Lonchura striata: one gene and its partners. The protein of the gene in region 3 purifies or fractionates together with the protein of the main gene of each other region. This does not show direct contact. Links are inferred from orthologs where the notes say so. Each region holds a gene or a part of one and is shown on either strand. Other genes may lie near its edges.

Evidence for each region.
Region 1: the proteins of SMURF2 (region 3) and TGFBR2 purify together in Homo sapiens (affinity purification with western blotting; 3 studies listed by BioGRID). This does not show direct contact. The link is inferred for Lonchura striata from reciprocal best matches to the Homo sapiens genes SMURF2 and TGFBR2.
Region 2: the proteins of SMURF2 (region 3) and SMAD4 purify together in Homo sapiens (affinity purification with western blotting; 3 studies listed by BioGRID). This does not show direct contact. The link is inferred for Lonchura striata from reciprocal best matches to the Homo sapiens genes SMURF2 and SMAD4.
Region 4: the proteins of SMURF2 (region 3) and TGFBR1 purify together in Homo sapiens (affinity purification with western blotting; 8 studies listed by BioGRID). This does not show direct contact. The link is inferred for Lonchura striata from reciprocal best matches to the Homo sapiens genes SMURF2 and TGFBR1.

Annotation. Positions count from the first base shown.
Region 1 is NC_134603.1:116,137,438-116,145,369, reverse strand, and holds the start of TGFBR2 (TGF-beta receptor type-2), read left to right. Parts: upstream 1-4,912; 5' UTR 4,913-4,956; coding exon 4,957-5,050; intron 5,051-7,932. UniProt on the Homo sapiens protein: Transmembrane serine/threonine kinase forming with the TGF-beta type I serine/threonine kinase receptor, TGFBR1, the non-promiscuous receptor for the TGF-beta cytokines TGFB1, TGFB2 and TGFB3.
Region 2 is NC_134642.1:1,015,979-1,022,800, forward strand, and holds the start of SMAD4 (mothers against decapentaplegic homolog 4), read right to left. Parts: upstream 3,017-6,822; 5' UTR 2,763-3,016; intron 1-2,762. UniProt on the Homo sapiens protein: In muscle physiology, plays a central role in the balance between atrophy and hypertrophy. When recruited by MSTN, promotes atrophy response via phosphorylated SMAD2/4.
Region 3 is NC_134621.1:8,494,048-8,501,861, forward strand, and holds the start of SMURF2 (E3 ubiquitin-protein ligase SMURF2), read right to left. Parts: upstream 3,003-7,814; 5' UTR 2,813-3,002; coding exon 2,761-2,812; intron 1-2,760. UniProt on the Homo sapiens protein: E3 ubiquitin-protein ligase which accepts ubiquitin from an E2 ubiquitin-conjugating enzyme in the form of a thioester and then directly transfers the ubiquitin to targeted substrates.
Region 4 is NC_134603.1:84,465,615-84,472,698, reverse strand, and holds the start of TGFBR1 (TGF-beta receptor type-1), read right to left. Parts: upstream 3,001-7,084; 5' UTR 2,915-3,000; coding exon 2,836-2,914; intron 1-2,835. UniProt on the Homo sapiens protein: Transmembrane serine/threonine kinase forming with the TGF-beta type II serine/threonine kinase receptor, TGFBR2, the non-promiscuous receptor for the TGF-beta cytokines TGFB1, TGFB2 and TGFB3.

The DNA of each region.
Region 1 (7,932 bases), on a different chromosome or scaffold from region 3:
GGTTATTTACGCATTCACCATAAACACAGAGCAAGCCAATTCGAGGAAGCTTAGAAATGGTTGATTTGCATTATAGCTAAAAGTCAGAGATCGTGTGAACAGCAGTACCCTGAGAATCTAGTACTAATTTGAATAATATTTCAAAACCTTATTTTGATAAGCGTCATTCAGAAGATTTGTGCAGAAAGCTTTACTGAGATAAATGTCGAAGATAACATTATTATTCTTGTTGCCTCTGATGTACGCAGCAGTTGATAACAAGACGATTTCCTTTTTCTGACGGATGATTACACACAACAGATGTTTTAATTTGATTATATCTATGAGATAAGGATAAATGCTGTGTTAAGTCCAAACACATTTTATAAGTTTTTCAAAACATTTTACAATGAATGTAACCTTTTGTAAATGTCCTTGCTTGAGGCTGCATGTGTTCTCACAATGGTGCAAATTATCAATAACGAGTTGAAACCAGTGATTATATGAAAGAAGAAAACTACATTTAACAGTAGCTGTAATTCTGTGCTCTATGATAACCTAAATTAAGAGAGAAATATTATTCGAATGGTGATACAGGGCACAACCGTTTCAAACTGCTCCAAAGAGGACAATGTGTTCTTCAGCCAATGATACACAAGACATCCTTTTATCAAGGATTCTGAAAGGATAATGCTCCATGCCAAGCACCCTCATTTTGAAAATTAGCAGGCAAATGCCAGTTTTGTGAATGCAGCACTGCAGTGAACAGAGTTTTTATCATTTGAGTTTCAAATTATATAGGCTTACAAAATTTGACTTTGATTTGAACTGAAATGCCAAAATTTGTCTGGAAAATAAACTTTTTGCTTAAGTGCAGTGAAATCAAAGTGTCAGATGTTGTTCCATTGTTCTTTTTTTTATACATAACATGGTGAGAACAAAAAAAAAATTCAAACTAATAGTCTGTTTCAAAACAAAACACAATCTGTATCACAACAAAAACATCAAAATGGGGCATGTCAGTGGTTCAAGCAGATTTCCTATTTTTATTTTGAAAGTAGTTATGACACAACATGTCCAGAGTCATCAGTGTTTTTAGTTGGGTCAAGATACTTATTCCAGTTACTTCATTAATAGTTTCAGTAAGGCAATATCAGCATCCTATGTACCTGTTTGCCTTGTGTCATTCCAAAAAATCACAGGCATTAACTCCAATGGCTGCCAACAGGTAAAGCACCTTGTAGCTTACTTTATGTGATGTATACAATTCAAAGAGTATTTTCTTTAGGATTCATGTCATCTAACATCAGTTACCTAACAAATAGATGTCTGGGCTAATTACGCTCCCTCTCATCAGCTCATTAAAATATCTAGACTCCTTTCCCTCCTTGGATGACCAAGGGAATGTGGGTGACCTAATAGCCTGCTGCCACCATAATGGCAATTCTGTTAATCCAGCATTTGTCCTCCATCCTTTGGTTATTGAACCTGATCTGGGACTATCCCATCACAGTGAAACAAACAGGACTGCTCCATCAGATTGTGAGAAAGGCAATGGGTTTTCACAGCCATCTCCTGGAACTTCAGTCCAAGGCTAACTTTTAGGCAGCAAAGTAAGTTGAGATGTCTTTTCCCACACCATAAATATCAGCTCTACACAGACATGAATATTATGTCATGCTAGTGCAACTGTATAGGCCTTACTTAATTCTGCTTTCGGGAACTATCTTGTTCTTGGATTCTTACATAAAACAACACTGGAGTTAATAAACCAATCAAAATAATTGCTTTATTGTGGACATCAGCAGCTTGTGGCTGTGAGCAGAATGGTTTTGAATGGAGTGTATGTTAAGTACAGTGAAACAACAGCTTTTTAGTAACAATGCATCTTTTGTAGATGCTTGAAAGTGTTTTTCTGTGAGGATAATGCTGTAGTTCACATGGGATTTTGACAGAAATAAGATACCGAAAGCTAGAAAATACTTAGACTAACAAAGAGACATCATTTATACTTGGTAGTTTTGTGGACTGTTTTAAAAGCCATACTTAAGACGTGCAGCAAAGAGCAGTTAGCATGTTTTCACTAGGAGACCCTGAAGTACAAGAGGTTATAAATTGCTTGTGCTCTCAGTATATATTTGAAAGGCTCAGAAAGAAAACACAATATTCAGTGCTTTGATATTTTGCCTTTTTGAGTGAGGAACTGAAAGTAGCTGTCTTACCTTACCCAGTCAGGCTGGAGATTATTATTTACACCTTTAATCTCCCACTCCTTGAAGAGGACTCTTTCTCTACCTCAATCAGGCTGAGGTTAAATACTCACAGTTTCAATCAAAAAGAAACTGCTATCTGAAAACAGGGAACTGGGAGCTATGAACAAGGAAATGGAAAGAAATTACCATTACAATTGTTTCATATATTTTGGTTGTCCAGGGAGTCCTGATTAAACTGCATTTGGGTCCTAACAGGGAGGTTTGTAGTACTCAAAAAGGCAAAATATGAGTTTTCACTAATAAGCCTGTCTGGGATAAATCTGTGAAGCAAAGTTGGCTTTACTTCAACTTCCACACAGGCTACTAGTGGCAATGATACTACTCTTCCCCTGAGCATATCCAGGTAAAATTTCCTTCCACTTTCTAGTAACATCTCTCACTCTCATGGATTCTCTGAACATCCAAAGCGCAGCTGTAGCACAATCCTCACTGCACGGTGTATCTGTAAAAATAAATGTAGTACTTACATGGAAATAGCAAATTCCTGAAGTCCACTTGTACTAGACTCCTCACTTGCTGGGTAACAGGTGCCATATCACCTCATGTGAGAGAAGGGCCAGTGATGCCTGGCTGCACCCAAGGATTTGAGACTATTGGAAACCTAAGTGCAGCCCTTCCCAAAGCCTCCATCTACTGCAAGCCCCTCACCTACTGCCAGACCCTGGATGAGAGAGACTGGGCAGAATATGGCTATATTGGAGAAGAGCCATAGCACTTATGTGAGGGAGAGAGATGCAAGTGACACAGAGTCAGGCTTGCAAAGTCACACCTGATTTGTGACAGGTTTGAATAGTAATACTAAATCTGTACTTATTTGCTTTTAAACTTGTTTTTTATGTTGGAAGGTAGTCACCAAAAACTAACAGGAGAGTTCAGCACACAGAGCCAACTTTCTAAGCAAATAGCAGCTCTTTGGCACCTGCAACTTGACAGCTCTGAGGAGAGAGAAGTGTACAGCATGCAGTATATACTTGTGTGAGTTGAGAAATGCTTTTGTTTAAGTGGATACTGAAAACACAGTCACATTCTAGCACATAGCTGGTGGACAGGAACTGATAAGAACACTCCCGTCTGTGCTCAAAGGGGAGTCTGCAACTTTTCTTATCTCTGGAGGGTGGCGACCACCACCTGTTTGAGTGAATCTTGACTATATAAAAAGAGGATGAGGGAGAGGAAAATGCTCTTGGAGAGAGGTTTATGAGACTTTGTACCATAAACTGAGACTTCATGGTGAAAATATGTATTTAGGGATTGTTTAAAACTAAGTTTACATAAAAGCACAATGATTTTTTTAAAATGTCTGTTACAGGCCAATTAAATTCTTTACGCAAACATTTCCAAATTCAAGCATTTCCAAATTCAAACAGAGTAAAACAGAGATGATCTGGGACATCCAGAGCATAATTACATCTATTCCCCCTGAGGGCTTAGCCCTCTTTCTGAAATACCCAGATCTGTATCTCTAACTAGTGTTGTAACCAAGACAAAAGCGAATCACCAACGTTGGAACAATCGCCCTCAAATTATCCCCATGTGCATCAGTTTACCCTTCAATCAATGCCCAGCCATTTAACTCGGAGAGGAAGGAAGACTGTGAGCTGGAAATGGTTCTCAATACAACTGCTGGCTACGCAGTGGCTGGATTTATACTGGCAGGGAGCTCAAGCTTTATTCAGATTCAAAACTGAATGGTTCTTACAGTCTCTGACAGGGCCATGAAAAGCTGGAATCACTGGCGTGGTCCTACTTTCTGAATCATAGGTGCAATTCCCTCTTGCAGAAAAGGCAAAATATCTGGTAGAAGTTCCTTTGGAGAGGGATGGAGACGAACTTAATTTGTGTCACCTACACAGGATTGGAGATAAAGTAATGTACAACCAGCCTATTTGGAAGCAAAATAAGCAGCAGGTGACAAGTTGTTCCAGTCAGCTCCAACATCTGGAAGCTGAGTGCCCAGCTAGTCTATGTGAATATTTCCTGCTGTTACCCTGACTTCAACCTCCCCGGCTCCCTGTTTTAGTTCATCTGGGGGTTACGTCCTTCTTTCTGATACTGCTGCTGCAGCATCGTTAAGGTCAGGGATACGGATGCGAGGAGGAGCTCTGCAAAGTCCCCATGTCCTAGATGACACGTCTGGGTCCTTTTCAACTCGCAGGGAGCGAGTAGTACCCCTCCGAGCTGGTGGTTTCCTGTCGACCTTGAGCCTCCTCGCAAGCCACGGTGCAGCTCCGGGCGGGTGGCTGTGCCCGGTCCCCGCCTCGGAGGGAGGCAGGCGCAGGGATCCAGCTGCACGTCGGGGCTGGCCCCGACGCGCTTGTGGTGGGAGAGCCAGACCTGAGAGGGGCTGGCCTCTGGCAGATGATTGACACCAAGCTGGGTGAGGTTTCATGTTAAAAAGAAAAAAAAAAAAAAAAAAGAAAGAAAAAGGAAAGAAAAAAGGGCGAGAGCAGGGGAGGGGGTGACTGTGGGAAGGGGGAGAAGGAACTACTGTAAGAGTAAGAAAGTCCTGCCCAGCTGTTTGCGAAGTTTAAGATTTCCTGTTTCCCCTGCAGCGCCGAAGTGAAGTTTCAGTGAGTCACCCTCGGTCCCGAGCAGCGGAGCGGCGCGGCCCCGCTCCCCGCCAGCCCCGCCACCGCCGCCGCGGCCTCCCCGCCGCCCCCGCGCCCTGCCCGCGGCTCGCCGGCCGCGCCGATCCGGCTCCGCGATGACTCCCCGGCTGCCGAGCAGCCTGCGGCGGCTGCTGCTGCGCCTCTCCCTCTGGGCGCTGATGGGCAGCTCGGTCCCCGCTCTGCTCCGGGGTAAGTGCGCGCCGGCCCGCGCTGCCGCTTGACAGCTGCTGGGGCCGGGACAAGCGGCGAGGGACAGGCGGGAGGCGGGGGACACGGCTGCTGAGAAAGTTTTGAAGCTGGAAACATTTCGGGAGGGGGTGAGCGTGTTTGTGGATGGCCCTGCGGGAGAGTAAGCGGGGAAGAAAGGACTGGGAATCTCGGGGTTTCGCGGCCGAAGCTGAGATCCGTCCGTGGAGGGAACAGCGGGGAGAAAGGAGCGGATTTGGCAGGAAATCGGCGGGGTCTGCTCGGGCCGGAGGAGCCCGGAGAGGGCATCTGGAGCCTGCCTGCGGTGGCCGGGGAAGGGCTGCAGGCCCTGCCCGCAGCTGATGCGGCGGCTCCGCACCTGGTGGCGGCCCCGTGCGCGGGGACGGGCCGGGGGCGCGGGCCGGGAACCCGCGGCCCCTTCGCAGCGCTCCGGCCCCGGCGCCGCCGCTCCGCTGGGCACCGCTGTCCTGCACCGCCGCGGCCACGGCTGGAGGTGCCTCGGGGGGCTCTCAGAGCGTGGCCACAGAGCCCGCTGCCGTGGGTCTGCACTTGGTCACCAAAACCTGGGGTTCCTGAGTTCCTGAGAAGAGCGGAGTTTAGCCGTGCCTGTGAGCAGTTGGACTGAAAAGCACTCATTCCTCTAGCACCGACTGCGGATGTTGTTTGACTCACTTTAAAAGTGACACTTTGTAATCTTTACCCTGCTTCTAGCAAGACATCCTTAGATAGGTTTTTGGGGTCTGCGGCTTGCAGTATTCTTCCTATCATAATTTATAATATACTATGAGCTTAAAGTTCTGCTGGAAAAAACAAGATTCCTGCTCGGAGCAGCTTTCCGTCTCTGTTCTACTAGCAGTTACCCACATCTGTGAATTAACATCTGTAATATCAAGGTTAGGCCCTAAATCACGTTGCAGAACAAGTGGTGAACCTAAAAGGAGAACAGGAGATTGTAGCAAATGCATCTGAAACACTTGTGAAGAATTAAGTAGCTTTCTAAGATGTCTTGTAATGGCACATCTAGTTTTAGTCTTCAGGTAAGGTGTGCAGACACCTGGGCTTCTACAAACTTTTCCCTGGGCCCTCTGATTTTCCTGTCTGGTCCCTTCATGGTCAGTAGTTGATCCCAAATTTTGGCTGAAACATAATAACATGAAGCGGATGACTCTTCAACAGCTACTGCCTTTAGCTATGTGCAGTTCTTTGACTAACTTCATGCTTCATTAACAGCCCTGTCACAGTCAACAGGTTGTGCATACCTGCAAAGTTACTCATGAAAGCTTAGGGCAAAAGAAAAGAACAGGGTATGAATGACACTATGGTGTCCCACAGCTGTAAGTTATATTAAATTTGAGGTGTGTAGCTTCTTGTTAATTTTATATATATATATATTCTATAATTCTTCATTAACATAAACCATACGCAACTTGTGATGGCCTTTATTTTGACCACAGCCTCAAACTTTTGCAGATTCCCATCACAAAAAACTTTAATGGAGAAGCTCAGCTTTTGTTAATCTTGTGTTATTTATTATTATACTTTTTTATACTCAATCAGCTATAGACAGTCTCAAACTATGGGTAGATTTTTTAAAGTGGGCATGGCTCAAGAGTTTGCTCTTCTTTCTTGTCATAGGTTCAGTGAGGAAAAAGAACACAAACTGGTTACAGTTCCAGCATTTTTCATACTCATCTTCATCTACACCCTAAAATAAAAAAAACTGAGTAGACCTGTTTTCAGATAATCTATCCCACAGCTCCAAAAGCTGTTTTGATAAACACTGTAGGATTCGACTGTGCAATAGAATTCTATTATGACAGGAAGAGCTGATCAGAAAGCAACAGTTCTGTGGAGCAGAAAGTGTGAGGTTTGGATGTCGGTAGTTATTTGGCACCAGAATAAAAATTAGAGCTGCCAAATGCTTGGGGGAAAACAAAACAGGAAAAAAAATAGTTATTTATTTTGTAAGAATTCATCAGTGTAGTAAAGCTGGAAAAAAAAGGACATATATCAGTCTCGGAAGAGCTCAGTTCCCAGGTGTGCCTACTAACTAACCAGATGGCTGGATAAAAAAGCACTAGCTACAATTTCATTTTAACATTCTTCACAGCAAAATAGACAAGACACATTCCCATAAAGATTTTGGAGAAACCCACAAATTCATGAAGAGGTTCAATAGGAATTATGAAAAAGAAAACTGTCATGGTCTGTACTACACAGAAGTAATTGACTTTTTTGCATAGAGTAAAGGGGCAAGGTGTGATTTTTTTGGAATGATTTTGAATGATTTATTGATCATTTTATCCATTAATGTCAGTGTAGAACAGCAGTTGTCCGTGTAAGAATTTTGTGTTAGTGTGTTCAAGTGAATATGAATTTGTAGTTTGTCTTTGGGTTATTGTAACCAGAAATTTGTTCCTTGGAATCATCCATGCAATAACTGTTCGTCTCTGAACATCAGGAACTTAATTTCTCCATTCAGCCAAGCTCTATTTGCATTACTGCTATTTTTTTGAAAGCCATATCAGAGGTAGTTAATTTTATAGTATGAAAATCAAATTTAGAGCTTCAGATGTTTGCAAAAGGGAAGTAGGAGAGCAAACATCTTGTAACGGGATGGAACATGCTTGTAACAGGATTGAGTCTAAAATGCATTCCTACCCCCCAGTAAAACTGGCATTTTTCCAGGTATTTCAGGAGGGAAGTAGGGATATATTAGAGATGATATTGAAATTTCTTCTATTTATGGGGTATCCTTGAATTGTGAGACTTTTATACCTAAGACTTTGAAAAACACTTTTGTTTACTTGCTATTTTTAATATTTAATTGGCATTAACATGCTTCTTTAATACTCAGGTGGTGA
Region 2 (6,822 bases), on a different chromosome or scaffold from region 3:
CTGGTCACTCTGGGCACAGGATCCCTGGGTCACTCTGGGCACAGGATCCCTGGTCAGTGTGGGCACAGGATCCCTGGGTCACTCTGGGCACAGGATCCCTGGTCACTCTGGGCACAGGATCCCTGGTCAGTGTGGGCACAGGATCCCTGGTCACTCTGGGCACAGGATCCCTGGTCAGTGTGGGCACAGGATCCCTGGTCAGTGTGGGCACAGGATCCCTGGTCAGTGTGGGCACAGGATCCCTGGTCAGTGTGGGCACAGGATCCCTGGTCACTCTGGGCACAGGATCCCTGGGTCACTCTGGGCACAGGATCCCTGGTCAGTGTGGGCACAGGATCCCTGGTCAGTGTGGGCACAGGATCCCTGGTCAGTGTGGGCACAGGATCCCTGGTCAGTGTGGGCACAGGATCCCTGGTCAGTGTGGGCACAGGATCCCTGGTCAGTGTGGGCACAGGATCCCTGGTCAGTGTGGGCACAGGATCCCTGGGTCAGTGTGGGCACAGGATCCCTGGTCAGTGTGGGCACAGGATCCCTGGTCACTCTGGGCACAGGATCCCTGGTCAGTGTGGGCACAGGATCCCTGGGTCAGTGTGGGCACAGGATCCCTGGTCACTCTGGGCACAGGATCCCTGGTCAGTGTGGGCACAGGATCCCTGGGTCACTCTGGGCACAGGATCCCTGGTCACTCTGGGCACAGGATCCCTGGGTCACTCTGGGCACAGGATCCCTGGTCAGTGTGGGCACAGGATCCCTGGGTCAGTGTGGGCACAGGATCCCTGGTCAGTGTGGGCACAGGATCCCTGGTCACTCTGGGCACAGGATCCCTGGGTCACTCTGGGCACAGGATCCCTGGTCAGTGTGGGCACAGGATCCCTGGGTCACTCTGGGCACAGGATCCCTGGTCACTCTGGGCACAGGATCCCTGGTCAGTGTGGGCACAGGATCCCTGGTCAGTGTGGGCACAGGATCCCTGGTCACTCTGGGCACAGGATCCCTGGGTCACTCTGGGCACAGGATCCCTGGTCACTCTGGGCACAGGATCCCTGGTCACTCTGGGCACAGGATCCCTGGGTCACTCTGGGCACAGGATCCCTGGTCAGTGTGGGCACAGGATCCCTGGTCAGTGTGGGCACAGGATCCCTGGGTCACTCTGGGCACAGGATCCCTGGTCAGTGTGGGCACAGGATCCCTGGGTCACTCTGGGCACAGGATCCCTGGTCACTCTGGGCACAGGATCCCTGGTCACTCTGGGCACAGGATCCCTGGTCAGTGTGGGCACAGGATCCCTGGTCACTCTGGGCACAGGATCCCTGGGTCACTCTGGGCACAGGATCCCTGGTCAGTGTGGGCACAGGATCCCTGGGTCACTCTGGGCACAGGATCCCTGGGTCACTCTGGGCACAGGATCCCTGGTCAGTGTGGGCACAGGATCCCTGGTCACTCTGGGCACAGGATCCCTGGGTCACTCTGGGCACAGGATCCCTGGTCAGTGTGGGCACAGGATCCCTGGTCAGTGTGGGCACAGGATCCCTGGGTCACTCTGGGCACAGGATCCCTGGGTCACTCTGGGCACAGGATCCCTGGTCACTCTGGGCACAGGATCCCTGGGTCACTCTGGGCACAGGATCCCTGGTCAGTGTGGGCACAGGATCCCTGGTCAGTGTGGGCACAGGATCCCTGGGTCACTCTGGGCACAGGATCCCTGGTCAGTGTGGGCACAGGATCCCTGGGTCACTCTGGGCACAGGATCCCTGGTCACTCTGGGCACAGGATCCCTGGTCACTCTGGGCACAGGATCCCTGGTCAGTGTGGGCACAGGATCCCTGGTCACTCTGGGCACAGGATCCCTGGGTCACTCTGGGCACAGGATCCCTGGTCAGTGTGGGCACAGGATCCCTGGGTCACTCTGGGCACAGGATCCCTGGGTCACTCTGGGCACAGGATCCCTGGTCAGTGTGGGCACAGGATCCCTGGTCACTCTGGGCACAGGATCCCTGGGTCACTCTGGGCACAGGATCCCTGGTCAGTGTGGGCACAGGATCCCTGGTCAGTGTGGGCACAGGATCCCTGGGTCACTCTGGGCACAGGATCCCTGGGTCACTCTGGGCACAGGATCCCTGGTCAGTGTGGGCACAGGATCCCTGGTCACTCTGGGCACAGGATCCCTGGGTCACTCTGGGCACAGGATCCCTGGTCACTCTGGGCACAGGATCCCTGGTCACTCTGGGCACAGGATCCCTGGGTCACTCTGGGCACAGGATCCCTGGTCAGTGTGGGCACAGGATCCCTGGTCAGTGTGGGCACAGGATCCCTGGTCAGTGTGGGCACAGGATCCCTGGTCAGTGTGGGCACAGGATCCCTGGGTCACTCTGGGCACAGGATCCCTGGTCAGTGTGGGCACAGGATCCCTGGGTCACTCTGGGCACAGGATCCCTGGTCACTCTGGGCACAGGATCCCTGGGTCACTCTGGGCACAGGATCCCTGGGTCACTCTGGGCACAGGATCCCTGGTCAGTGTGGGCACAGGATCCCTGGGTCACTCTGGGCACAGGATCCCTGGGTCGCTCTCCACTCTGCGCTGCTCGCTGTGTCTGCTCGCCCGTTCCCTTCCCACATCCCAAACTTTGTTCCGGGCCGGGCGGTGTTTCCCCGGCCCAGCGCGGTGTCCCGGCTCCGGCCCCGGGGCCGTCCCGCGGGGAGCCGGGCCGGTGCCGCGGTTCGGGGAAGGGTCCCGGGCGCGGGCCCGGCCGGTCCGGCCTTACCTGGGCGCGGCCGCCGAGGGGGCGCGGGCAGGCCGGGGCCTCCGGCCCGGGCGCGGCGGCGGCGGCTCGGGGCAGCCCCGGCGCCGCTGCCGCTGCCGAGGTGTCGGTGCCGGTGCGGTGCCGGTGCTGTGCCGGTGCTGTGCCCGTGCCCGTGCCCGTGTCCCGCTCGCTCCGGTCGCTTTCGCCGCCGCCGCTGGTCCCGACACGTCCGGGCCGCTGCCACCGCGCATGCGCCACATCCGGGTCCCGCCGCGCCTGCGCCACATCCGGGTCCCGCCGCGCATGCGCCACATCCGGGTCCCGCCGCGCATGCGCCACATCCGGGCCCCGTGGCGCATCCGCCATATCCGGGTCCCGCCGCGCATGCGCCACATCCGGGTCCCGCCGCGCATGCGCCACATCCGGGTCCCGCCGCGCATCCGCCACATCCGGGTCCCGCGGCGCCTGCGCGGGCGGGCGCGTTGTGTTTGTGGTTGGCGGGCGGCGCGCCGCGGGGAGAGCGGAGCGGGCGGGCTGCGCTCCGGGGAACCGGGATTTCGCTGCATCCCACGGGATATCACGGGATCCCACTGCATCCCACGGGATATCACGGGATCCCACTGCATCCCACGGGATATCAAGGGATTCCACTGCATCCCACTGGATTCCACAGCATCCCACAGCAATCCACAGCATCCCACTGGATTCCACAGGGTCCAGCTGGGTCCCACTGGATCCCGCTGCATCCCACGGGATCTCACAGGATCCCACAGCATCCCACGGGAACCCCCAGCATCCCACTGTATCACACAGCGTCACTATGGATCCCATGGAATCCCACGGGATCCCAATGGAGCCCCCATCATTATGCTGGATCCCACAGCATCCCACGGGATCCCAGAGTGTCCCACGGGATCCCACTGGATCCCACAGCATCCCACGGGATGCAGGATGCGGGATAGCCCCAGGGAACCAGGAGTGCGGGCAGCATCCCTTCCCCACCCTGGCAGCACCCCCGAGCTCTGCGGGACACGGACCCTCCCTGGGCACTCCAGGGATGGGATCCAACCCTCCCTGGGCAGTTCCAGTTCCTGAGCCCCCTTCCATGGGGAAATTCCTGCTGGTTCCACCCTGAGCTGCCCTGGCCCAGCCTGAGGCCGTTCCCTCTCCTCCTGTCCCTGTTCCCTGGGAACAGATCACAAATCCCCCCCGGCTGTCCCCTCCTGTCAGGAGCTGTGCAGAGCCACAAGGTCCCCCTGAGCCTCCTTTGCTCCAGGCTCAGCCCCTTCCCAGCTCCCTCAGGAACTCTCCAGCCCCTTCCCAGCTCCCTCAGGAACTCTCCAGCCCCTTCCCAGCTCCTCAGGAACTCTCCAGCCCCTTCCCAGCTCCTCAGGAACTCTCCATTCCCTTCCCAGCTCCTCAGGAACTCTCCATTCCCTTCCCAGCTCCTCAGGAACTCTCCATTCCCTTCCCAGCTCCTCAGGAACTCTCCATTCCCTTCCCAGCTCCTCAGGAACTCTCCAGCCCCTTCCCAGCTCCTCAGGAACTCTCCCAGAATTTGGCACTCGCAGCCCTGCCCGCAGCTCTGCCTCCCCTCTCCTCATCTCCCCAGGCCAGCTCGGCTGGAAAGGAAAAGCTGTTTTAGAACTGAAGCCTTGGACATTCCTGCCCTCGCAGTGTGGAGCTGGCATTGGACACAGGGCAGGATGTGCTGTGCCCCCGGAAAAATGCGATGTGCTTTTCCTGAGTCCAACAGGATTTTGGCAAGGCACTGGCGCGCTGTCACAGCCGCCCTAATGAGAACCAAGAATAATGGGAATTTTAAAAAATTGTTGTGTTGCCCTGTCAAAACTTTTCCTGCTCTTGCTGTTCAGTCATTTACAGTCACTTCCACACGCTGAAGGCCTTAGGTTGAAAAGCAATATATAATACTGCTGCATTTGTCATCCCTAGGTGTAATTGCAGCCTCTCCGCACCAGGATTCGCCGGGTGAGGCACAAATTACCTTTTCCTGGAGGAATTCTGGCTGGGAGATGAGATCTCCAGCCCAAGGCGGTGTCCCACACCGGGCACTCGTGGCCCTGCCGCCTTGGCCAGCCCCACAGCAGCACCCCGCGTGCCAGGGGCGGGTTGAATTAGCACTAATTAAAGAGATAACGAGCACAGCCCCTTCTGCCTGCAGCCACCTGCACCCTCAGCCAAGGAGATCTCCTCACACCCAGCGGAAGTGCTGGGGTTTGTGTGGTGAACCTGGCAGTGCCACCCTGAACTCAGCTCTTGGAGAGGCCTTGTGAGCTTGGGGACAATGTCGGGGCTGGTTTTCATTGCAGGAGCTGCAGGGCCGCTGCATCGGGGCTGGGTGCCGTGCAGAACCACCCCTGCAGCACAAGCGTTGCATCGCATCCCAGCTCTCGGGGCTCTGGCAGCGGAGGTGACCCCGAGAATTCCAAAATTCCTTTCTTCCAGCCCACCCAGCCGAAGCAGGAGTGGGAATGCATAGGGTTGGTTTCTCGAGGTTGTTAATTCTCTATTATCTGCAGCGTTCTTTCTCAAGGAGCTGCGCTCTGTCCAGCAGGTCACTGTGCACAGAATCCGCCCTTGGGATGGTGTTTACATTCTACACCAAAAACTACCTCTTACAATAATGTAAACATAGTTTGTAGTACCTATGATTTATGTTGGACAGTTTGTCTGTACCTTAAACCAACAGAAAAGTGTCACCAGCACAGCAAGACATGGAGGGCAAGGAGAAGGAGAAGGAGAAGAGAAGGAGAAGGAGAAGGAGAAGGAGAAGGAGAAGGAGAAGGAGAAGGAGAAGGAGAAGGAGAAGGAGAAGGAGAAGGAGAAGGAGAAGGAGAAGGGAAGGAGAAGGAGAAGGGAAGGAGAAGGAGAAGGAGAAGGAGAAGGAGAAGGAGAAGGAGAAGGAGAAGGAGAAGGAGAAGGAGAAGGAGAAGGAGAAGGAGAAGGAGAAGAGAAGGAGAAGGAGAAGAGAAGGAGAAGGAGAAGAGAAGGAGAAGGAGAAGGAGAAGGAGAAGGAGAAGGAGAAGGAGAAGGGAAGGAGAAGGAGAAGGAGAAGGAGAAGGAGAAGGAGAAGGAGAAGGGAAGGAGAAGGAGAAGGAGAAGGAGAAGGAGAAGGGAAGGAGAAGGAGAAGGAGGAGAAGAGAAGGAGAAGGAGAAGGAGAAGGAGAAGGAGAAGAAGGAGAAGAGAAGAAGAAGGAGAAGGAGAAGGAGAAGGAGAAGGAGAAGGAGAAGGAGAAGGAGAAGGAGAAGGAGAAGGAGAAGGAGAAGGAGAAGGAGAAGGAGAAGGAGAAGGAGAAGGAGAAGGAGGAGAAGAGGAGAAGGAGAAGGAGAAGGAGAAGGAGAAGGAGAAGGAGAAGGAGAAGGAGGAGAAGAGGAGAAGGAGAAGGAGAAGGAGAAGGAGAAGGAGAAGGAGAAGGAGAAGGAGAAGGAGAAGGAGAAGGAGAAGGAGAAGGAGAAGAAGAGAAGGAGAAGGAGAAGAAGGAGAAGGAGAAGGAAAAGGAGAAGGAGAAGAAGGAGAAGAGAAGAAGAAGGAGAAGGAGAAGGAGAAGGAGGAGAAGGAGAAGGCCAGGACATGCTCAAATCCCTCCATCTTGTCCCCTTGAACCCCACTGGAAAACCCCCAAAATTCTACTTTTTCACCCTGTGTTAATTCAACCACCACGCCACTCAAACCCTTGTGGCTTGTAACTCCTCACACAGAGTTGGCAGCTTTTTCCATGGGCTAAAATCAAAGCCACGGGTGTTTTTGTCTTGTGCCAGGGTCTGGGGACAGCCAGGGCAGCCAGAGGGGTGAGCTGGGCTCTGGCAGTGCCCCGGAGCACCCTGTGTTTATAAACACCTCTGTTCCAAAGCCACTGCCCCGAGCTGCCCATCGCCGTGTTCCTATTGTTAATAACAACAATAATGAATTTAATTATGAACACAAATTAATAATTCGCCATTCATAACACAAAATGCGCTCAGCTGTCCCCGTGGCTCCGCGCCAATCCTCGGATTTCAGGGAGAGCTGGGCCAGCCCTGCCGGCTCGGCAGGACGCACATTTCTGGAACCAAAACCACG
Region 3 (7,814 bases):
ATAAATTTCGCAGAAAACTAGTGCAATTCTGGAATTTAGCTAATTTAAATTATACTGCCTATATTTTAATCAAAAACAAGGATTTACACCTCCTGCTAGAAGTATCATCAGAAGCCATGACACCTGGATTTTAAAAATTATTTGCAACAAACAGCCAAACCTTTGCTAAAGAATAAACTTTTTAAATAAATATATAACACAGATACACTGTAAACTAAATAAAAACTTACTAGAAGTATGCCACCGCTGTGGTTTTTCTCTGTTGTGGAACCCAGACCTAAATAAACTGTTAAACACTTAGTGTAAAGGTATGCCAAACATTTCTCAGAACTTTCTTAAGGTCTCAACAAAGAGTCAACCTTTTTTGCAAAATGAGGCCTAGGTTAAATATTTTATTTGGCTCCTCAAGATGGACTGAGAAGTTGGGCACTAGCTCCAGATCAGTTCTTGGACTCACATCAAACATTACCCTGTCATTTATCCAGTCAGTCAAAACAATGTTTTCCATCTAAACCTTTAATGTTTATGTCCTGAAAAACTGCTAATTGAATCCAGTTCTTGAAATCTATTTTTTAATCTATACCATTTAATTTAGAGATACTGAACAGAAAAGATAAGCGTTGAACAATGATTGCAGAATTAATCCCATAAACATTCAAGCCAAAACAGAAGACTGCTAGTTTCATAGAGCCAAAGAAAATTAAGATTAAATAGCATTTGTCAGTTTGAGAATAAACTTTTAGAAACACTGGATATACAGATTCTTTTAATTCCAAACAGTTTTAGAACTCAAGAGCCCCCAAACTGCTTTTCCAATCAAAAAGAATAATCAAAACCACACAGAACACTTACAACTATTCCTAGGCAAGAACTGACAACATGTCAGCTGAATTAATAAAATTCATTGTTTTCCTTAAACATGTAAAGCTTCCTTACAACAAATGACCTTAGGTGAAACAACTCCCCATTAGCTAAAGCAGAAAATACCTCAAGCTGTTCAGCTGGAGACACAGGCCAATGTTTCCTATAAGCTTCCAATAATGGAACTGGTACTCAGTGCCTGCCAGAGCTGCTAGCCCTGGAACAGTCCTAAAAAGACACTTTTGCCTTCATCCCATACTCTGCACTTTCCCTTCCCAAAATACAAGATGCCCAAAAAACACAAAAACATTCCTTAGGGTTGTACCTGCTGCATTTGGGGGCTGACCACAGTGCGTAAAACCACAGCGTGCTTCTGGTCACAATCACACTCCCCTCACCACACTGAGATTGTCACAGGCACAGTTTCATTATATGCTTATTCCTCAATAAAAATAAAATATGAAATGAATTTGAACACAAAACACAGAGGTGAGAAAGACAAGTCCCTAGACAGTATTTTCCATTATTTTAAATAAGGTTACAGACCATTTTTTATGTTTCAAAGATAAGCAAGTCTGAGCACTCACTGCTCAGGGAAAGAAAGTATTAAAGCACTGCATCAATACAGCAATAACCTGAGGAGAAAGCTACAAAACACTCAGTAAAAACAAGGCAGCACTGTTCCATGCAGCAGTCCCAGCTACGCTCATTTTAGGAGTTTTATTTCCAAGTGTAATATAGAGACACTCACGAATCTCCATGAAAACTAGATAACAAATCTAGTCCAAGTTATTCCAAAGTAAAACAGAAGCAGATACATTTTACTTTTTCTGTGAAAATAACATACTTGGAAAGATCAGTATGAAAACACCTCTCTTTATTAGGTATTAAACTGGAGATATTTCTCACACACCTTAAGTAAATATAACAACTCTTCTAATATTTAAAAAAATATTTCTTTTGCAAGCTGCTTAGAAACACTATATAAAGGTGGATATTTACAGTGAAAAGCTATACTCTTCTAATTGCTTACCTTTGTGTACTGATGCTTCAGGACACACAGTGTCATTTATGTGCTGGAGGACTTAACAATACTTTGAAGAAAAGAGCTAGATTCAAGTGTCCTGAATTTTTTTAAAGAAAGCTCAAGCAGAATTTCCAGTATTTTTTTTCCTCTAAACCTGTTTACGTGGGGTTTTATATGGAAAAGGGCATAATTTTAAGTATTTAAGACCAGATTCTTTTCCTTCCCAGCATGCAGGTGAACCGTTTTTATGGTATTTTAAAATATCAGAGGTCAAGTGGTCTGGAGTAGGGCAGGACAAGGCAGTTCACCCAAGAACTGTGAACAATCACAGAATATGCTGAGTTGGAAGGGACCCACCAGGATGATCGAGCCCAGCTCCTGGCCCTGCACAGGACACCCCAAAATCCCTCCCTGTCCCTGAGAATGTTGACCAAAGGCTCCCTGAGCTCTGCCAGCCTTGGGGCTCTGAGCACTGCCCTGGGAGCCTCTCCAGTGCCCAACAGCCTTAGCCGAGGAAATCGCTTAAAAACCCCAACAAAACAACAACAATAAACAAACAACGAGATCGAAACAAAAAGCGTGGCAGTTTCTTTCGAGTTTACACCGAGAAGACGAAGGGAAAATACACTGCAAGGCTGGGGCGCGGTGGCTGAAGTTCCCCCAGGCGGCTGCGGGGCCCGGGCCGGGCGGGCGGCGGAGCCCGGACACGCCGAGCCCGGGGCCGAGGGGAACGGACGGCAGGGAAACCTCGCCCTCCCCTTCCCTGCGAGGCCCGAGGGGCCGCTCCGGCCCCAGGCTCAGCCCCAACGACACCCGGAGGAGCCGCTGCCGCCCCCCGCCCGGGCTGGCCCGCGGCCCCGGCCCAGCCTCACCTGTCAGCCGCAGCTTGACGGGCCCGTTCCGCCGGGCCCCCGGGTTGGACATGGCCCCGGCCGCGGCACCCCGCCGCCGCTCCGCAAGGGCTCGGGGGAGGCGCGAATGGAGCCGGGCCGGGCGCTCAGGGCAGCGGCGGCCGCCGAAGGAGGAGGAGAAGGAGAGGCCCGGATGTGCCCAGCGTCGCCATGAGCGGGGCCGGGGCCGCGGAGGAGGAGCGGAGCCTTCCCCGCTTCCCTCCGCTTCCCTCCGCTTCCCCGCCCCCGGGCCCGAGCACAACAAAGCCGGGACGGAGCCGCACGGACGGGCGGGCTGGCGGCGAGCTCGGCTCCTCTGCTCTCCCTCCGTCCCTCCCTCCTGCCCCGGGGAGGCCCTGCCCGCCCCCCGCGCCCCGCCTCGGGTCAGCCTCGGGGGAACGGCGGCAGGTGGCGGCGGCGGCCGGGCGCTGCTGGCCGGGAGGCCGGCGGGATGGCCTGTCCCGGGAGAGCGGGGCTCGGCAAGGATGGGGGAATGGCCGTGTCCCGGGAGAGCGGGATGGACCTGTCCCGGGAGAGCGGGATGGACCTGTCCCGGGAGAGCGGGGAATGGCCGTGTCCCGGGAGAGCGGGATGGACCTGTCCCGGGAGAGCGGGATGGCCGTGTCCCGGGAGAGCGGGGGATGGACCTGTCCCGGGAGAGCGGGATGGACCTGTCCCGGGAGAGCGGGATGGACCTGTCCCGGGAGAGCGGGATGGCCGTGTCCCGGGAGAGCGGGGGATGGACCTGTCCCGGGAGAGCGGGGGATGGACCTGTCCCGGGAGAGCGGGATGGACCTGTCCTGGGAGAGCGGGATGGCCGTGTCCCGGGAGAGCGGGGGATGGACCTGTCCCGGGAGAGCGGGATGGCCTGTCCCGGGAGAGCGGGATGGACCTGTCCCGGGAGAGCGGGGGATGGACCTGTCCCGGGAGAGCGGGGGATGGACCTGTCCCGGGAGAGCGGGGGATGGACCTGTCCCGGGAGAGCGGGGGATGGACCTGTCCCGGGAGAGCGGGATGGACCTGTCCCGGGAGAGCGGGGGATGGACCTGTCCCGGGAGAGCGGGGGATGGACCTGTCCCGGGAGAGCGGGATGGACCTGTCCCGGGAGAGCGGGATGGCCGTGTCCCGGGAGAGCGGGATGGACCTGTCCCGGGAGAGCGGGGGATGGACCTGTCCCGGGAGAGCGGGGCTCGGGAAGGATGGGGGGATGGCCGTGTCCTGGGAGGGCTGGAAATGGGGAAGGATGTGGGGAATGGCTGTGCCTGAGGGGAAGTAGGGGACTGGGAAGGATGTGGACAGTGGCCATGGCCTGGGAGAGCTGGGGATCGGGAAGAATGTGGGTGAATAGCCAAGGTGGGGAGGAGAGGGTGGCAGAGAAGCTGTGTAGGGAGTTGGGACAGGAAAACCGAGGGTACAAATGGGAAAAGACATGGCAGGAGAATTCAGAGGCAGGCTGAAATGGGTGGTCCCACGCAGGAGTGCTGCCGATCCATGACAATATTCCTCATGGACAGGGTGTGACAGACCAGCCCTGGAAACTGTTAAACTTTGGACCAATTTGGTTCTTATCTGCACTGTGTAGAAATCAGCAGTTGAGCTCTGTGAACTGCCATGTGCAGAATAATAATATTTTTTTTTTTTTAAAGCCTTGCATCCATGCCGTGTTGCCTAATTTAACTCCCACCCTGTGGGAAAGGTGACCCTTTCCAGAGTTTTCCCAGCTCTGCAACACACTTCCCATGAGGAGACCTCCATCAGAGTAATAGGCAGCTTTCTGCAGGGCCAGAGGGGCCTCAAGGGTGAGACAAGCTCCCAGGAAAGCTATGAACGTTACCACAGTCTAGATTACTTTAGAAGTTTAAGCTAATACATCACACACCTACTCTTACTAACAACCTTACTAAGACTCTACTCGTTTGGTCATGTCACTGCTCTGGCTTCTTCCTGCTGAGGTAACCTGTGAAGTATTATCATGTGGGTAGTCAGAGGTGAGGATCCAGCTATGGATCCCCAGCATTGGATGAGAAGATGACCTGTGCTTCACTGAGTTCATCCTGTGGCTCCTACACAGCCCAGGAGGTTTTCTCTGCAGTCGCTTGGAGCTGAGCTGTAACCATGTCTTGAATGGTCCCATCCTGACAGAGCTCAGAGTCTGAGCCTCGTTAATTCAAACCTGGGGTGTGCGACTGATTTTTTTTTTCCACTGAAGGCCTTGAAGTGCAATGTGGTTCTTAAAGCTTTCCATCCATAAAAAGTGACCTCTCCTATGCTGTACGTGGGGATTGACTTCCTATTCCTCCCAAAGTGTCTGAAGTGCAAGGTGGAGATTTCCAGTGCTTCCTGCAGTGGTGGCACTGCTGTTCCAGTGTCACTTCAGCAGGGAACAGAGGAATCCTGGGGTCCCTTCTTTGGCCAGGGCTGTGCCTGTCCCCTGTGCCATCAGCTGTTTAACACAAAACTAGCAAATGTTAGACACCAACCTCTTTCACAGCACAGGCAGAGCACAAGATAAAGCATAAAACATCTTTCCAGTGCTTTGCCACTGGTTAAAAAGAAGAGAATTTGAAACAATTAAAGTCTAAGCAGCATTTACTACAAAACATGGACAATACACCTATGGATTTTATGACTTTACATTGCACTGAAACAGTTAAGAAGTTATTTTGTAATGGTTATGTAAATTCATGCACACCCCAAAGACATTCCAGGTGTCCTGATTCTTGCATTAAAAAAAAAAAAAAGAGGAAGAAAATTAAACATTTATAATTGAAGGTCATACTATTAAATTTTCAGTCTGTTACAAATTCACATACTCTTTTCTCAAACCAAGTATATAATGCAACTGGCTGTTTGGATCACAACTACACTGCCTCTTTTGTTGAGCTTGTAATGAGGAATCATTGATGGTTTGCAAATATTGCAACATTAACTGGCCACTGCTAAACTGAACAGGAAAAAAAAAAAAAAAAAACAAAACTACTTTTCACATACTTAACATATTTCTAAATTTTTCCTAACATGATGATTATTCATTTCTGGGGTCTTGCAGTGCACTTTGGACCTAACATTCAATAATTCTGATATAATTTGACAAAAGTGCCTAATGTTATATTAAATACAGAATTCTTTCTACATGATCTTTTTCTAATGGATAACTAGTATGTCAGACATTAATTGAAATGCCAATATTTAAAAAACCCTTTGGGATTAAATATACTTTCATTGTTCAGTAGTTATATGAACATTTAAATTCTTTCATTAAAAGTGTTTTTTAAAGGTCATGAAGCATACTTGGTTTCAAACTGCTTTTCAGAAAGGAACTTGCTGAACTATAAATTTTTCTAAGGTTTTTGGACACACTGCTCACCTTTCAGTGAAAGCATTGTGATATATTGCAAGTGTTAGAGCATTAACTGACACTGCATTTGGGTCAGCATATAAAATGTACAGTCTGCAGGATGGCTGCTACTGCTGTACACTTTTCTTTAATATGTGCCATATTTGATTTTATTTACTTAATTTTTAAACAACCAACATGACTTGAGCACTTTTATAAATACATGCCAAGTGCATCACATGGGACAGTCCTGTATAGTAGGTGTGTATTCAGCAGGGGGAGAAGAAGGGCTCCAGCTCCCATCAGCCTGGCAGGGCTGGGTCCCAGTTGGGTCTTGTCCCTAAGGTGGGGAGAACACCCTGGACCAGGCTGCCCTCGGACACACAGAGGCACCAGATGCCAACTGCTGCACCCTCCTTTCTCAGGGCTGTGCCTTGGCTGTCCCACAGCTGTTTGTGTCCTGTCCTATCTCCCAGTTCTGTTGGGAAATGAGGATTTTCACTCGCTGTTCCCTTCACTGTGTAGAACTGCCAGGAAGGATTTAAACCGAGTATGTTCAAGAGGAACCAGTGCAAGATCTGCAGGCAGATGAAGGGAAGCCAGGCAGAGCACCAGGAACTGCGGTGGTGTAGGGGAGCAAAGATGCTGGCAGTCCCTGGTGGTAGAAAGTGCTGCTTTCCCAACCAAGAAATCCCACTGGAATGTTATGATCCAGAGGTTCCTGAGCCAGTACCATCCCCCAAATTCTCAAAATATTCTCAGATTAACAGAACCGATCTCTCACTGATCCTCCTTTCGCTTTCAGAAGCCAAGATTTTGCAGGAAATTGTATCTTTATACAGTTCCATTTCAGAGGTTTCACTCTGTGCAGGGCTGATCCTGTGAGAGAGACAAGCAAGTATCATCAGCGCTGCTGACAAGAGCCCCATGCTCCAGTGCAGGCTGGTATCACTGAACAACACATCCTTTCAAGATGAGACAGCTCGCTGGGATCCACATCACCCTGCAGATCATTTTGGATGACAGCCTTGCTGCTGGATTTGGGAATCCAATCCAGCCTTCTTCAGCCAGAGCTTCACAGCTGAGCCACCCTCTAACGGATTGGAAGAAATGTGTAGAGAAGGGGCAAGGTCAGGTATCTTTAGGACACCAACAGGGTGAAGAATCCACATGGAGAAAATAATGTAATAGTTGGTATTATTATGATATCCTATCAGTGGTATTGGTGTTATATGAGTGACACTTTTGAATAAATATTTAGAAATACAAAAATTTCTTCTGTTCCGTGACTACAGAAAAAAGGGCTTTGATTTCTTGAATTTACCAAGAGGTAAATTCTTCTTAGGAGAAGAATTTTGTTTCACATGTAGTTCTCAAAGGATTTAGTGGTTTTGGATGCCAGGAAATGTGTACAAACATCTTTAACTAAGTAGTGTCATTTTCAGAAGAGGATGGTTGTAGTTAATTTTGTAGAGGTGGTGTCCTCCCCATCTTTAGAAATGGAAGACTATACTGGAAACTCATTCCTTGGCATGTGGAATGTGTTCAAAGCAAATCAACATTTAAGAATTACATTCCATTTCTTTCTGTATATAGGTTTAATCATGGCACATTCCTTCAGCAGTAATGAGAGCTGGCTGGTATTATATCACATTCTTTCCCAGTTTCTGTAATGTAGCAAGAAAGCAAGAAAGCTCTG
Region 4 (7,084 bases), on a different chromosome or scaffold from region 3:
TGAAGCCAAAACGTCACCAGAAAGCAGAACTTCATCAGAAGAGCAATCACAATTCTTGGTTCCATAAGATGCAGAGTTTCGAGGGAATAAAGGAGCAAGGCTATTATGTGCAAGAGACAAAACCACATTTTTAGGGATATGAGCAAAAGGGTTTCATGCTCACTGGTAGCTCTTTCCCTGTCCAATAACACTTGCCAAAGGAAAAAAAGAATAATACATAACAGTGCAAATGTCAGCTTCTGAGTCTAATTCAGACAATCGCCTCAAACAATACACCTGACTCATCTCTGAACTCTTTTAGCTCAAGATACAAAAAGGTTTCAATCTTAAAATATCTGGGACATAGGTACAGTTTTTAAAATCACAATACTTTATGGCCTCCACTAACACATTCTTCTCACAAAGGCAATAATTAAAAGTTTCACTGTTGTAACAGCACCGGGTATCAAGTTTTCAGGAAAACTTTCACATAGATTTCATCCATCTTCCTTCTTGCAAACAGCAGGTCTTGTCAAACAAAGTGATGCACTCAAGAAAACAGATAAATTACTATTAAGTACCCACAACTTGTAAATAGCGATAAAATCTTGTGTAAAATCCCAACTTCACAAAAGTGATATTATATTCTGTGCAATGTAGGAGCCAAATGGCACTTTTAGTTTTCTTGACATCTATCAAAAACACTACCCAGAGATATATGTTCATGCCTCTTAGAGCATAATACAGTAACAATTTGTTTCTTCTCTGGTAGAAGAATAAGCTTTAAAAAAACCCAAACTAACAGAAGAAAGCTAAATTTAAAAGCCCAGATCATAATTTTACAAGCATTATGACAACAGAAGGATCTTTATTTGTACTTTTAAATTTATTCCACCATATTAATCAGATTGTTATCTTTATTTGCAGTTAGAAGCAATTGTCTGAATTCAAGAATTTTCAAGTGGTGACTCCCCAGAACTTCAGAAGACTAAAGACTATGGCGTACACAGTGAAAACCAGAAAGCCTATTTTCAGACTCTGTCTTAAAAATTAAGGCTGTTCAACTGTTCAGCTAGCTGCTGGGATTCATTACATACCTGACCTCCATATAAACCGTATCACAAGATGACTCATCCACACAGTAACACCAGCACATTGCAGAACAGCCCCAGCAGAGGCAACCAGAAATTGCCCAACTTCTGTCAACTCACAGTAAGAAGTACCAGTACCCAAATCATACCTTGAACTACTCTATCAACTTAGACCATAATGTTCAGGCAAATTACCTGCCTCACCCATACCAGGGCCTCTGGATGAGCTATGGATCATGAATCCTGGATTTCTTCCAATTCCATTGAACAGAGAGGATTTATCTTTTATTAAACAAAAGGTAGCACACCATCACTTCCACCCATAAGGTTTTGTATGGAAGTCTGTTGCCTTGTTTTCACACAAAGCTTTTAGACCTTAATTTCATGCTTCAGATTAAGGGAAAACTGTTGGATTGATGGGAGGCATTAAAAGGGAAAAAGTTCAAAGCTCAAATTGAACTAAAATTTCCTTCAACTACTAAATTGAATGTGTTACATAAGAAAGCTTTAAATTATTAAAGCCTGCCGCACCTTTTCAAGAACATAAGAACAACCCATGGGTAACTTAAGCTTATTTCAGTGTTTCCACATCAGAGATCTTGCATCGCCTTCAGTAAGAATATGTGTGATTAACACTACATGTTAATACAGCAAGTGATGCTTTAAGTAGCTTTTTTTTCACCATGACTACCATTTTAGATTGAATTATATACAGCATGGTATAGATCCAGACTGAGGGATTTCTTAAAGCTGTAACCGAAAAAGTTGTGGTGCTTCTCCACTTCCTTTTTAAAATCCAAAGCAATATACAATCCATTAGGCCATATGTCCCAAACTGCTAACCGCAGAACAACCTGCACATTCAAAAAAAAAAAAAAAAAAACAAAACGAAAAAAGAAAACCACCCAAATCTTCCATTTATGAATGCTGTCAAGCACTCCCAATGTTTCTTGCACTAGCTCTGCAACAGCATAGTCTGATATCAAATCTCTCGCAAAAAAGCACAGGTACAGGAGACTGGAGAACACAACCGTTTCGCTGTACAACATTCACCCGAAGATTTCATTTCCACACGGCTCGACCCGCACCGAGCACACAGGCGAGGGCGTGCTGGACCAAAAGTTCGCCTGTCCCCCCAGCACCGTGACAGCAGCACACGGTGCTGCAGCGCGCAGCACAGCGGGGGCAGCCCCCTGTCACCTCCGCGACGTGGGACATTCAACACGTCTCTGCCCCGCCGCTCCTCCCGGGCACCACTACGAGCGCCCTGCGGCGGCCCGGGGGCTGCCGCTCCCGCCGCTGCCGGGCACCCCGCCCGGGAGCTCCCAGGAGCTGGCGGACAGATAGACAGGGGAGCTCCGGCAGCTCCAGGAGCCTCAGCTGCCTTCGCGGGCCAAGGCCACACGCACCCCCCCGGGCGGACATCAGGATAGAAAGTTAACGCGGGCAGACATCGCCCGAAGCGCTGCTCAGCCGGGCCGAGGAAGTAGCGGCGGGGCCCGAGGGGACCCTTCCCGCCGCCCCTCCCGCGGAGCCGCCGCCGCTCTCGGCCAACAAAGGGCCGAGCGGTCCCCGCCGGGCTCGGACACCGGGGGTGGGGGGAAGGTGACTCCGCCCCAGCCGGCCCCTCCGCCATGTTGTTGAAAGGAACCGGCGGGGATCCGCCGCCCCCCGCCGATCTCCCCACGCACCCCCACACGCCGCTCCGGACACCACCGCCGCGCCCGCCGCCTCTCTCCGCTCCCGCGCCCCCCTGCGCACTCACCGCCCACCGCGGGGCAGAGCAGCGAGGCCGCAGCCAGGCACAGCAGGGCCCAGGGACGCCGCCGAGTAGCCGCTGCCATGTCCTGGCCGCGACTCCCCGGAGCCGGGATCCGCCTCGCGACGCGCGCCCGCTCCGCCCGCCCAGGGACCGGCGCGGCGCCCGCGCTGCGTGCGCCCTCCCGGCCCGCTCCGGCCGCGAATGCCGCCGACGCGGCGGCGGCGGCGCCGCCTGATTGGTCGCTGCGCCCCGGCCCCGCCCCGCGGCGGCCGCGGGCAGCCCCGACAACAACAGGCGGCGGGAGCGGGGCGCGACCTGCGCGGCGGCGGCGCGGGGCGGGGCGGTGGCACCCCCTCCCGGCGGGTGAGAACGGCAGAGCGGCCGCTCTGTCCCCTCGATGCCGCTCCCGAAGGGGCTCGAGCGGGCTTGGAGTTTCCCTGCGTCCGGGTGCTGCGAGAGCGCTCGGGTTAGCGGCTGAGGCGCTGCCAGCAGCGAGGAGGGAGCGCTGGCAGCGCTGCACTGCGCGGAGTCCCGGGAGCATCGGCTCCGATGGAAGGCAGGTGCGGGGGCCTGTGGGCAGCCCTCGAGTTGCCTCCGGAGAGGAGGAAAGCAGCGGGAGCGGAGGAATTGCTCCTCCTGGGAGGCGCTGCGAGTGGGCAGGCGGAGCGTGCGGAGCCCCGGGCGGTCGCGGCGGGGCCGCAGCGCAGGGGCAGCTCCCGCTCCTTGCCCGCGGCACGGGACCGCCCGGCGCTCCCGCGGCAGCCCCGCGGCCGCTCCGCCGTCCCGCAGCGGAGGGTTTTCCCTCGCCTCAGCGGCAGTCTCAGCGCTCAGCTCACAGGCTTTGTCCCCGTGCGAGGGAAGAGCGGTGCCAGGCGACAGGTGTAGCTGCCAGCTTATTGCACAGCCTGCGCTTAACTTCAGGAGTTAACTGGGAATCGCAGACTCGTGCAGTCCGAATACCCGTCGGAGGTACACCTTGAATCTTAAATCCTGGGGCAACTAGGATGTACCTCGTGAGGAAAATGACCGTGACTGAGGTTGTTACTTCTATCCACCACTTTATTAGCTTTGCATGGGTGGCAGAGTAGGAGGAGAGGCTCTCTTCTTCCCTCTTGGGATCAGGTAACGATTCTCCCAGCAGTTACCTGATTGCTCTGGGAATCCGCCCCCTCCCCCCCCCCTCGCCCCCCCCGCTCAAATATCTGACTGTTGTGTCCAGACCCTGAATCAGTTCAGAATCTCTCAGCATATGCCTTTATACTCCTTTTGTTGCTTATTTTGCATGGAGTGTGACCCTCCCGTCATAGGCAAAGTCACAAAGATCACAGGTGTTCTTCCACATTACTTGCAGTTGCTCTTGCAAGCCCCGTGCCCTGTCTTTGCCAAATGGTGCCTTCCCAGCTTGCAGTGCTCAGGACAGCACCCTTCCCACTCTCCAGGACCACATTCACTGTCACGGCACACTGATCTGCTGCCTCCATTTTACTAGCAGTTGTTCAGCCAATACTGCTTTTATAAAAAAGTCTTGTTTCTCCTACAGTACACTTCACCTGGGTAAGAATTTTGATGTCATAGTTCAAAGTGAGGTAAATATTTATTAATTAATTCTCTTTCTGTTTCTCTTTGAACAATGATCAGTGTCATGCATAAACATATCCTAGTTATATTTTCTCTCACAAAATAACATTTTAATGACATGCACTTAATGTCAGATGTTGAACCAAATGTCTGGATTTCATATAGATTCATGCTGTAATGAACTACTGAAGCTGACAACACCAGGCAAACATGTTCTTAGTTATCCATACATAGAAATATGTAGAGGGCTGATCCTCAACTAAATGTATTAGCGTCAGAAAGAAACACTGAAGCACTCAGTTAAATTTCTCAAATCCTGAGACATCTTTTAAATTCATATTGAGCATTGAAACTATAAATTAAGAAAATTATGCTCAGGGGAAAAAAATCTACTATTCATTTCCCCATTGCAGATCTCCTGGGTTTAGGGATGGGTCACAGACTATATCTCTGAAGGAAGGCAGAGACCAGTAAGCAGAGCATGCTGAAGGATTTCTTTTCAGGGCTCCAAGTTCAGTTCTATGTGGAACATTTTGAATTAACATCCTGAGTGACATTTGGCTGACAGACACAGAAAAATTAAAATAAATCAATAACTTGCTGGTATCAACTCACCAGCTAAGATGGATTCAGGTCCAATAGTGCCAACTACAAAGGAGTTTTTTTTTGCCAGGCTTCACTCTTCTTCCATATCACTCATGAGGTAAAGACCACTACAGAAGAAATACCTAAAATTATGTCATCCCCTGTCCTGAAGCCTGGGTACCTCTCTCTGATCTTATGTATGCTAGATGTAAAAGCCAAAGTAAATGTGGACAGAAGCATAGCTACCAAAATGGGTTCTGCATGTCCAGAATCTCCCCGTTTCTCGCTATTTTTCCACATATCCAGGTTCTTAGGACTGCCTCTTCTGGTCTTGATTAAGGCGGGGTCCAAGAACTTCTGATTATGATACAGACTCTTGATATTCAATGGGCTCTGGTAGACATTTGGGTCTTGTTCTTGTTGGTACCTTCCCCTGTTAGCTCCCCCTTATCACTGTAAGATTCATCCTGGTGTTTTTCCATCATCTTTCTTCTGCTGTTACTCCTGCTGTAAGTTCCCCTTTTCCAATATTTAGGTCTTCCCCTTCCTTCTTATGAGCTTCATAACTGCTTTTGGTGCAGCAGGAGCTTTGCTCATCTGGGCAGTACCTGGCTTCTTTAGGGGGGGCTATAGGAGAGGTACTTGGATTCACTGGTTGAGATGCAAAGTAATTCATGTCACATGCCCTGTTTGGTAACAACAAAATTACCTTTGTTTTTGCTATAAAAATAGAGCAATTAAATAAAAACGACAATATAAAAATGATGACCTGAAAATATTTAATTCATTGGTTCCTCCCTATGTCTGCAAACAAATTGAATGCCAGTCCAAAGGTAGTGAGGACATCTTGATGCTTGCATCTTACGATTTTCATCCTCTAAACATGCTAGTTAGTCAAGTGGGGCTAAGTCAGAAAATGACACAATCAGTGAAACAGTTTCAATATATGCTTTCCTATAAAGTGACATTTTGTTTAAGAAGAAAATAACTGTTCTATGATCACAGATTCTTCAAAATTGCAATAATTGCTTGGCCTTTTCCTGCCAAAGCATGAAAAAACTATTTCACAGTACAAATCTGCCAAGTTCAATAGAAAACAATGCATGACCATTGTATGGTTACGACATTTTAACTGGATGAATTAAATATAATTTTTCAGTATTTCCTGTAAAGGAACGCTTAAAAGAACTTCTTACGAACTGCAATCCTCAGTGCTTACTGAGGATGGAAATAATGTCATCAGTGGACATAAATTTAAAAGAACAGGCAACCCCCCCATTTTTCCTAGCCTCATTTTTCTAATAAATGAATGATTTCATAACATAATTATATTCCAATTATAGAAATATGCAGCAATAATAATAATTTTTTTTAATGCAAGGTAGAACACAAAGCAAGGTGACACAGAAAAACCAAACTATCTGGATTTATGAGATTTGTTTAAATCATCAGATTGGTTTTTAGACTGAGTAAATCAGGTTATTACACAGCGAATATCTGCAATTTAAACACTGATTAATTTCTTTCTTCTGTACTAGAATGTGACAGTCATACACATGCGCAGCACCCACAGGGAGAGAGAATGAAATAATTAATCTTTACCTAGGGCTGCTTTTATTTTCTGCAAGAATTATTGTCAGTGTACGAACACTTCTTATGGTTTTATTTTCTCTTCTGGAAGATGGAAAACAAAATAATTGCAACTGCATGAATGTTTCAAATGGAACTCTGTACTACTGGAACTCTGTACTCCACAAAGAAAAAAACTATGTAGGGCATTGAAATAAAAGACATTTTGGAAAGGAGCAAGTGGATAGAGAGACAATTATACAAACCAATTTGTTCTATAGGTTAGTCTTTGAGAAAGATTTATAATATGAATATAATGATTTAGTTCCAAAAATGGGAACCAATAAATATTTTTTCCCTTAGGTCTTAAAGTAAAAATATATGGAATTGTGATAGGAAATAATATTAATGGTGATGACTAAAAGTTTTATTTGTCTTTTGGTTTAGAAGGTACTGTATCAGGCTAATAAATAATCTTTCTCTCACAAACAGTGTATGCACAATTAGTCCTAAAGCAATA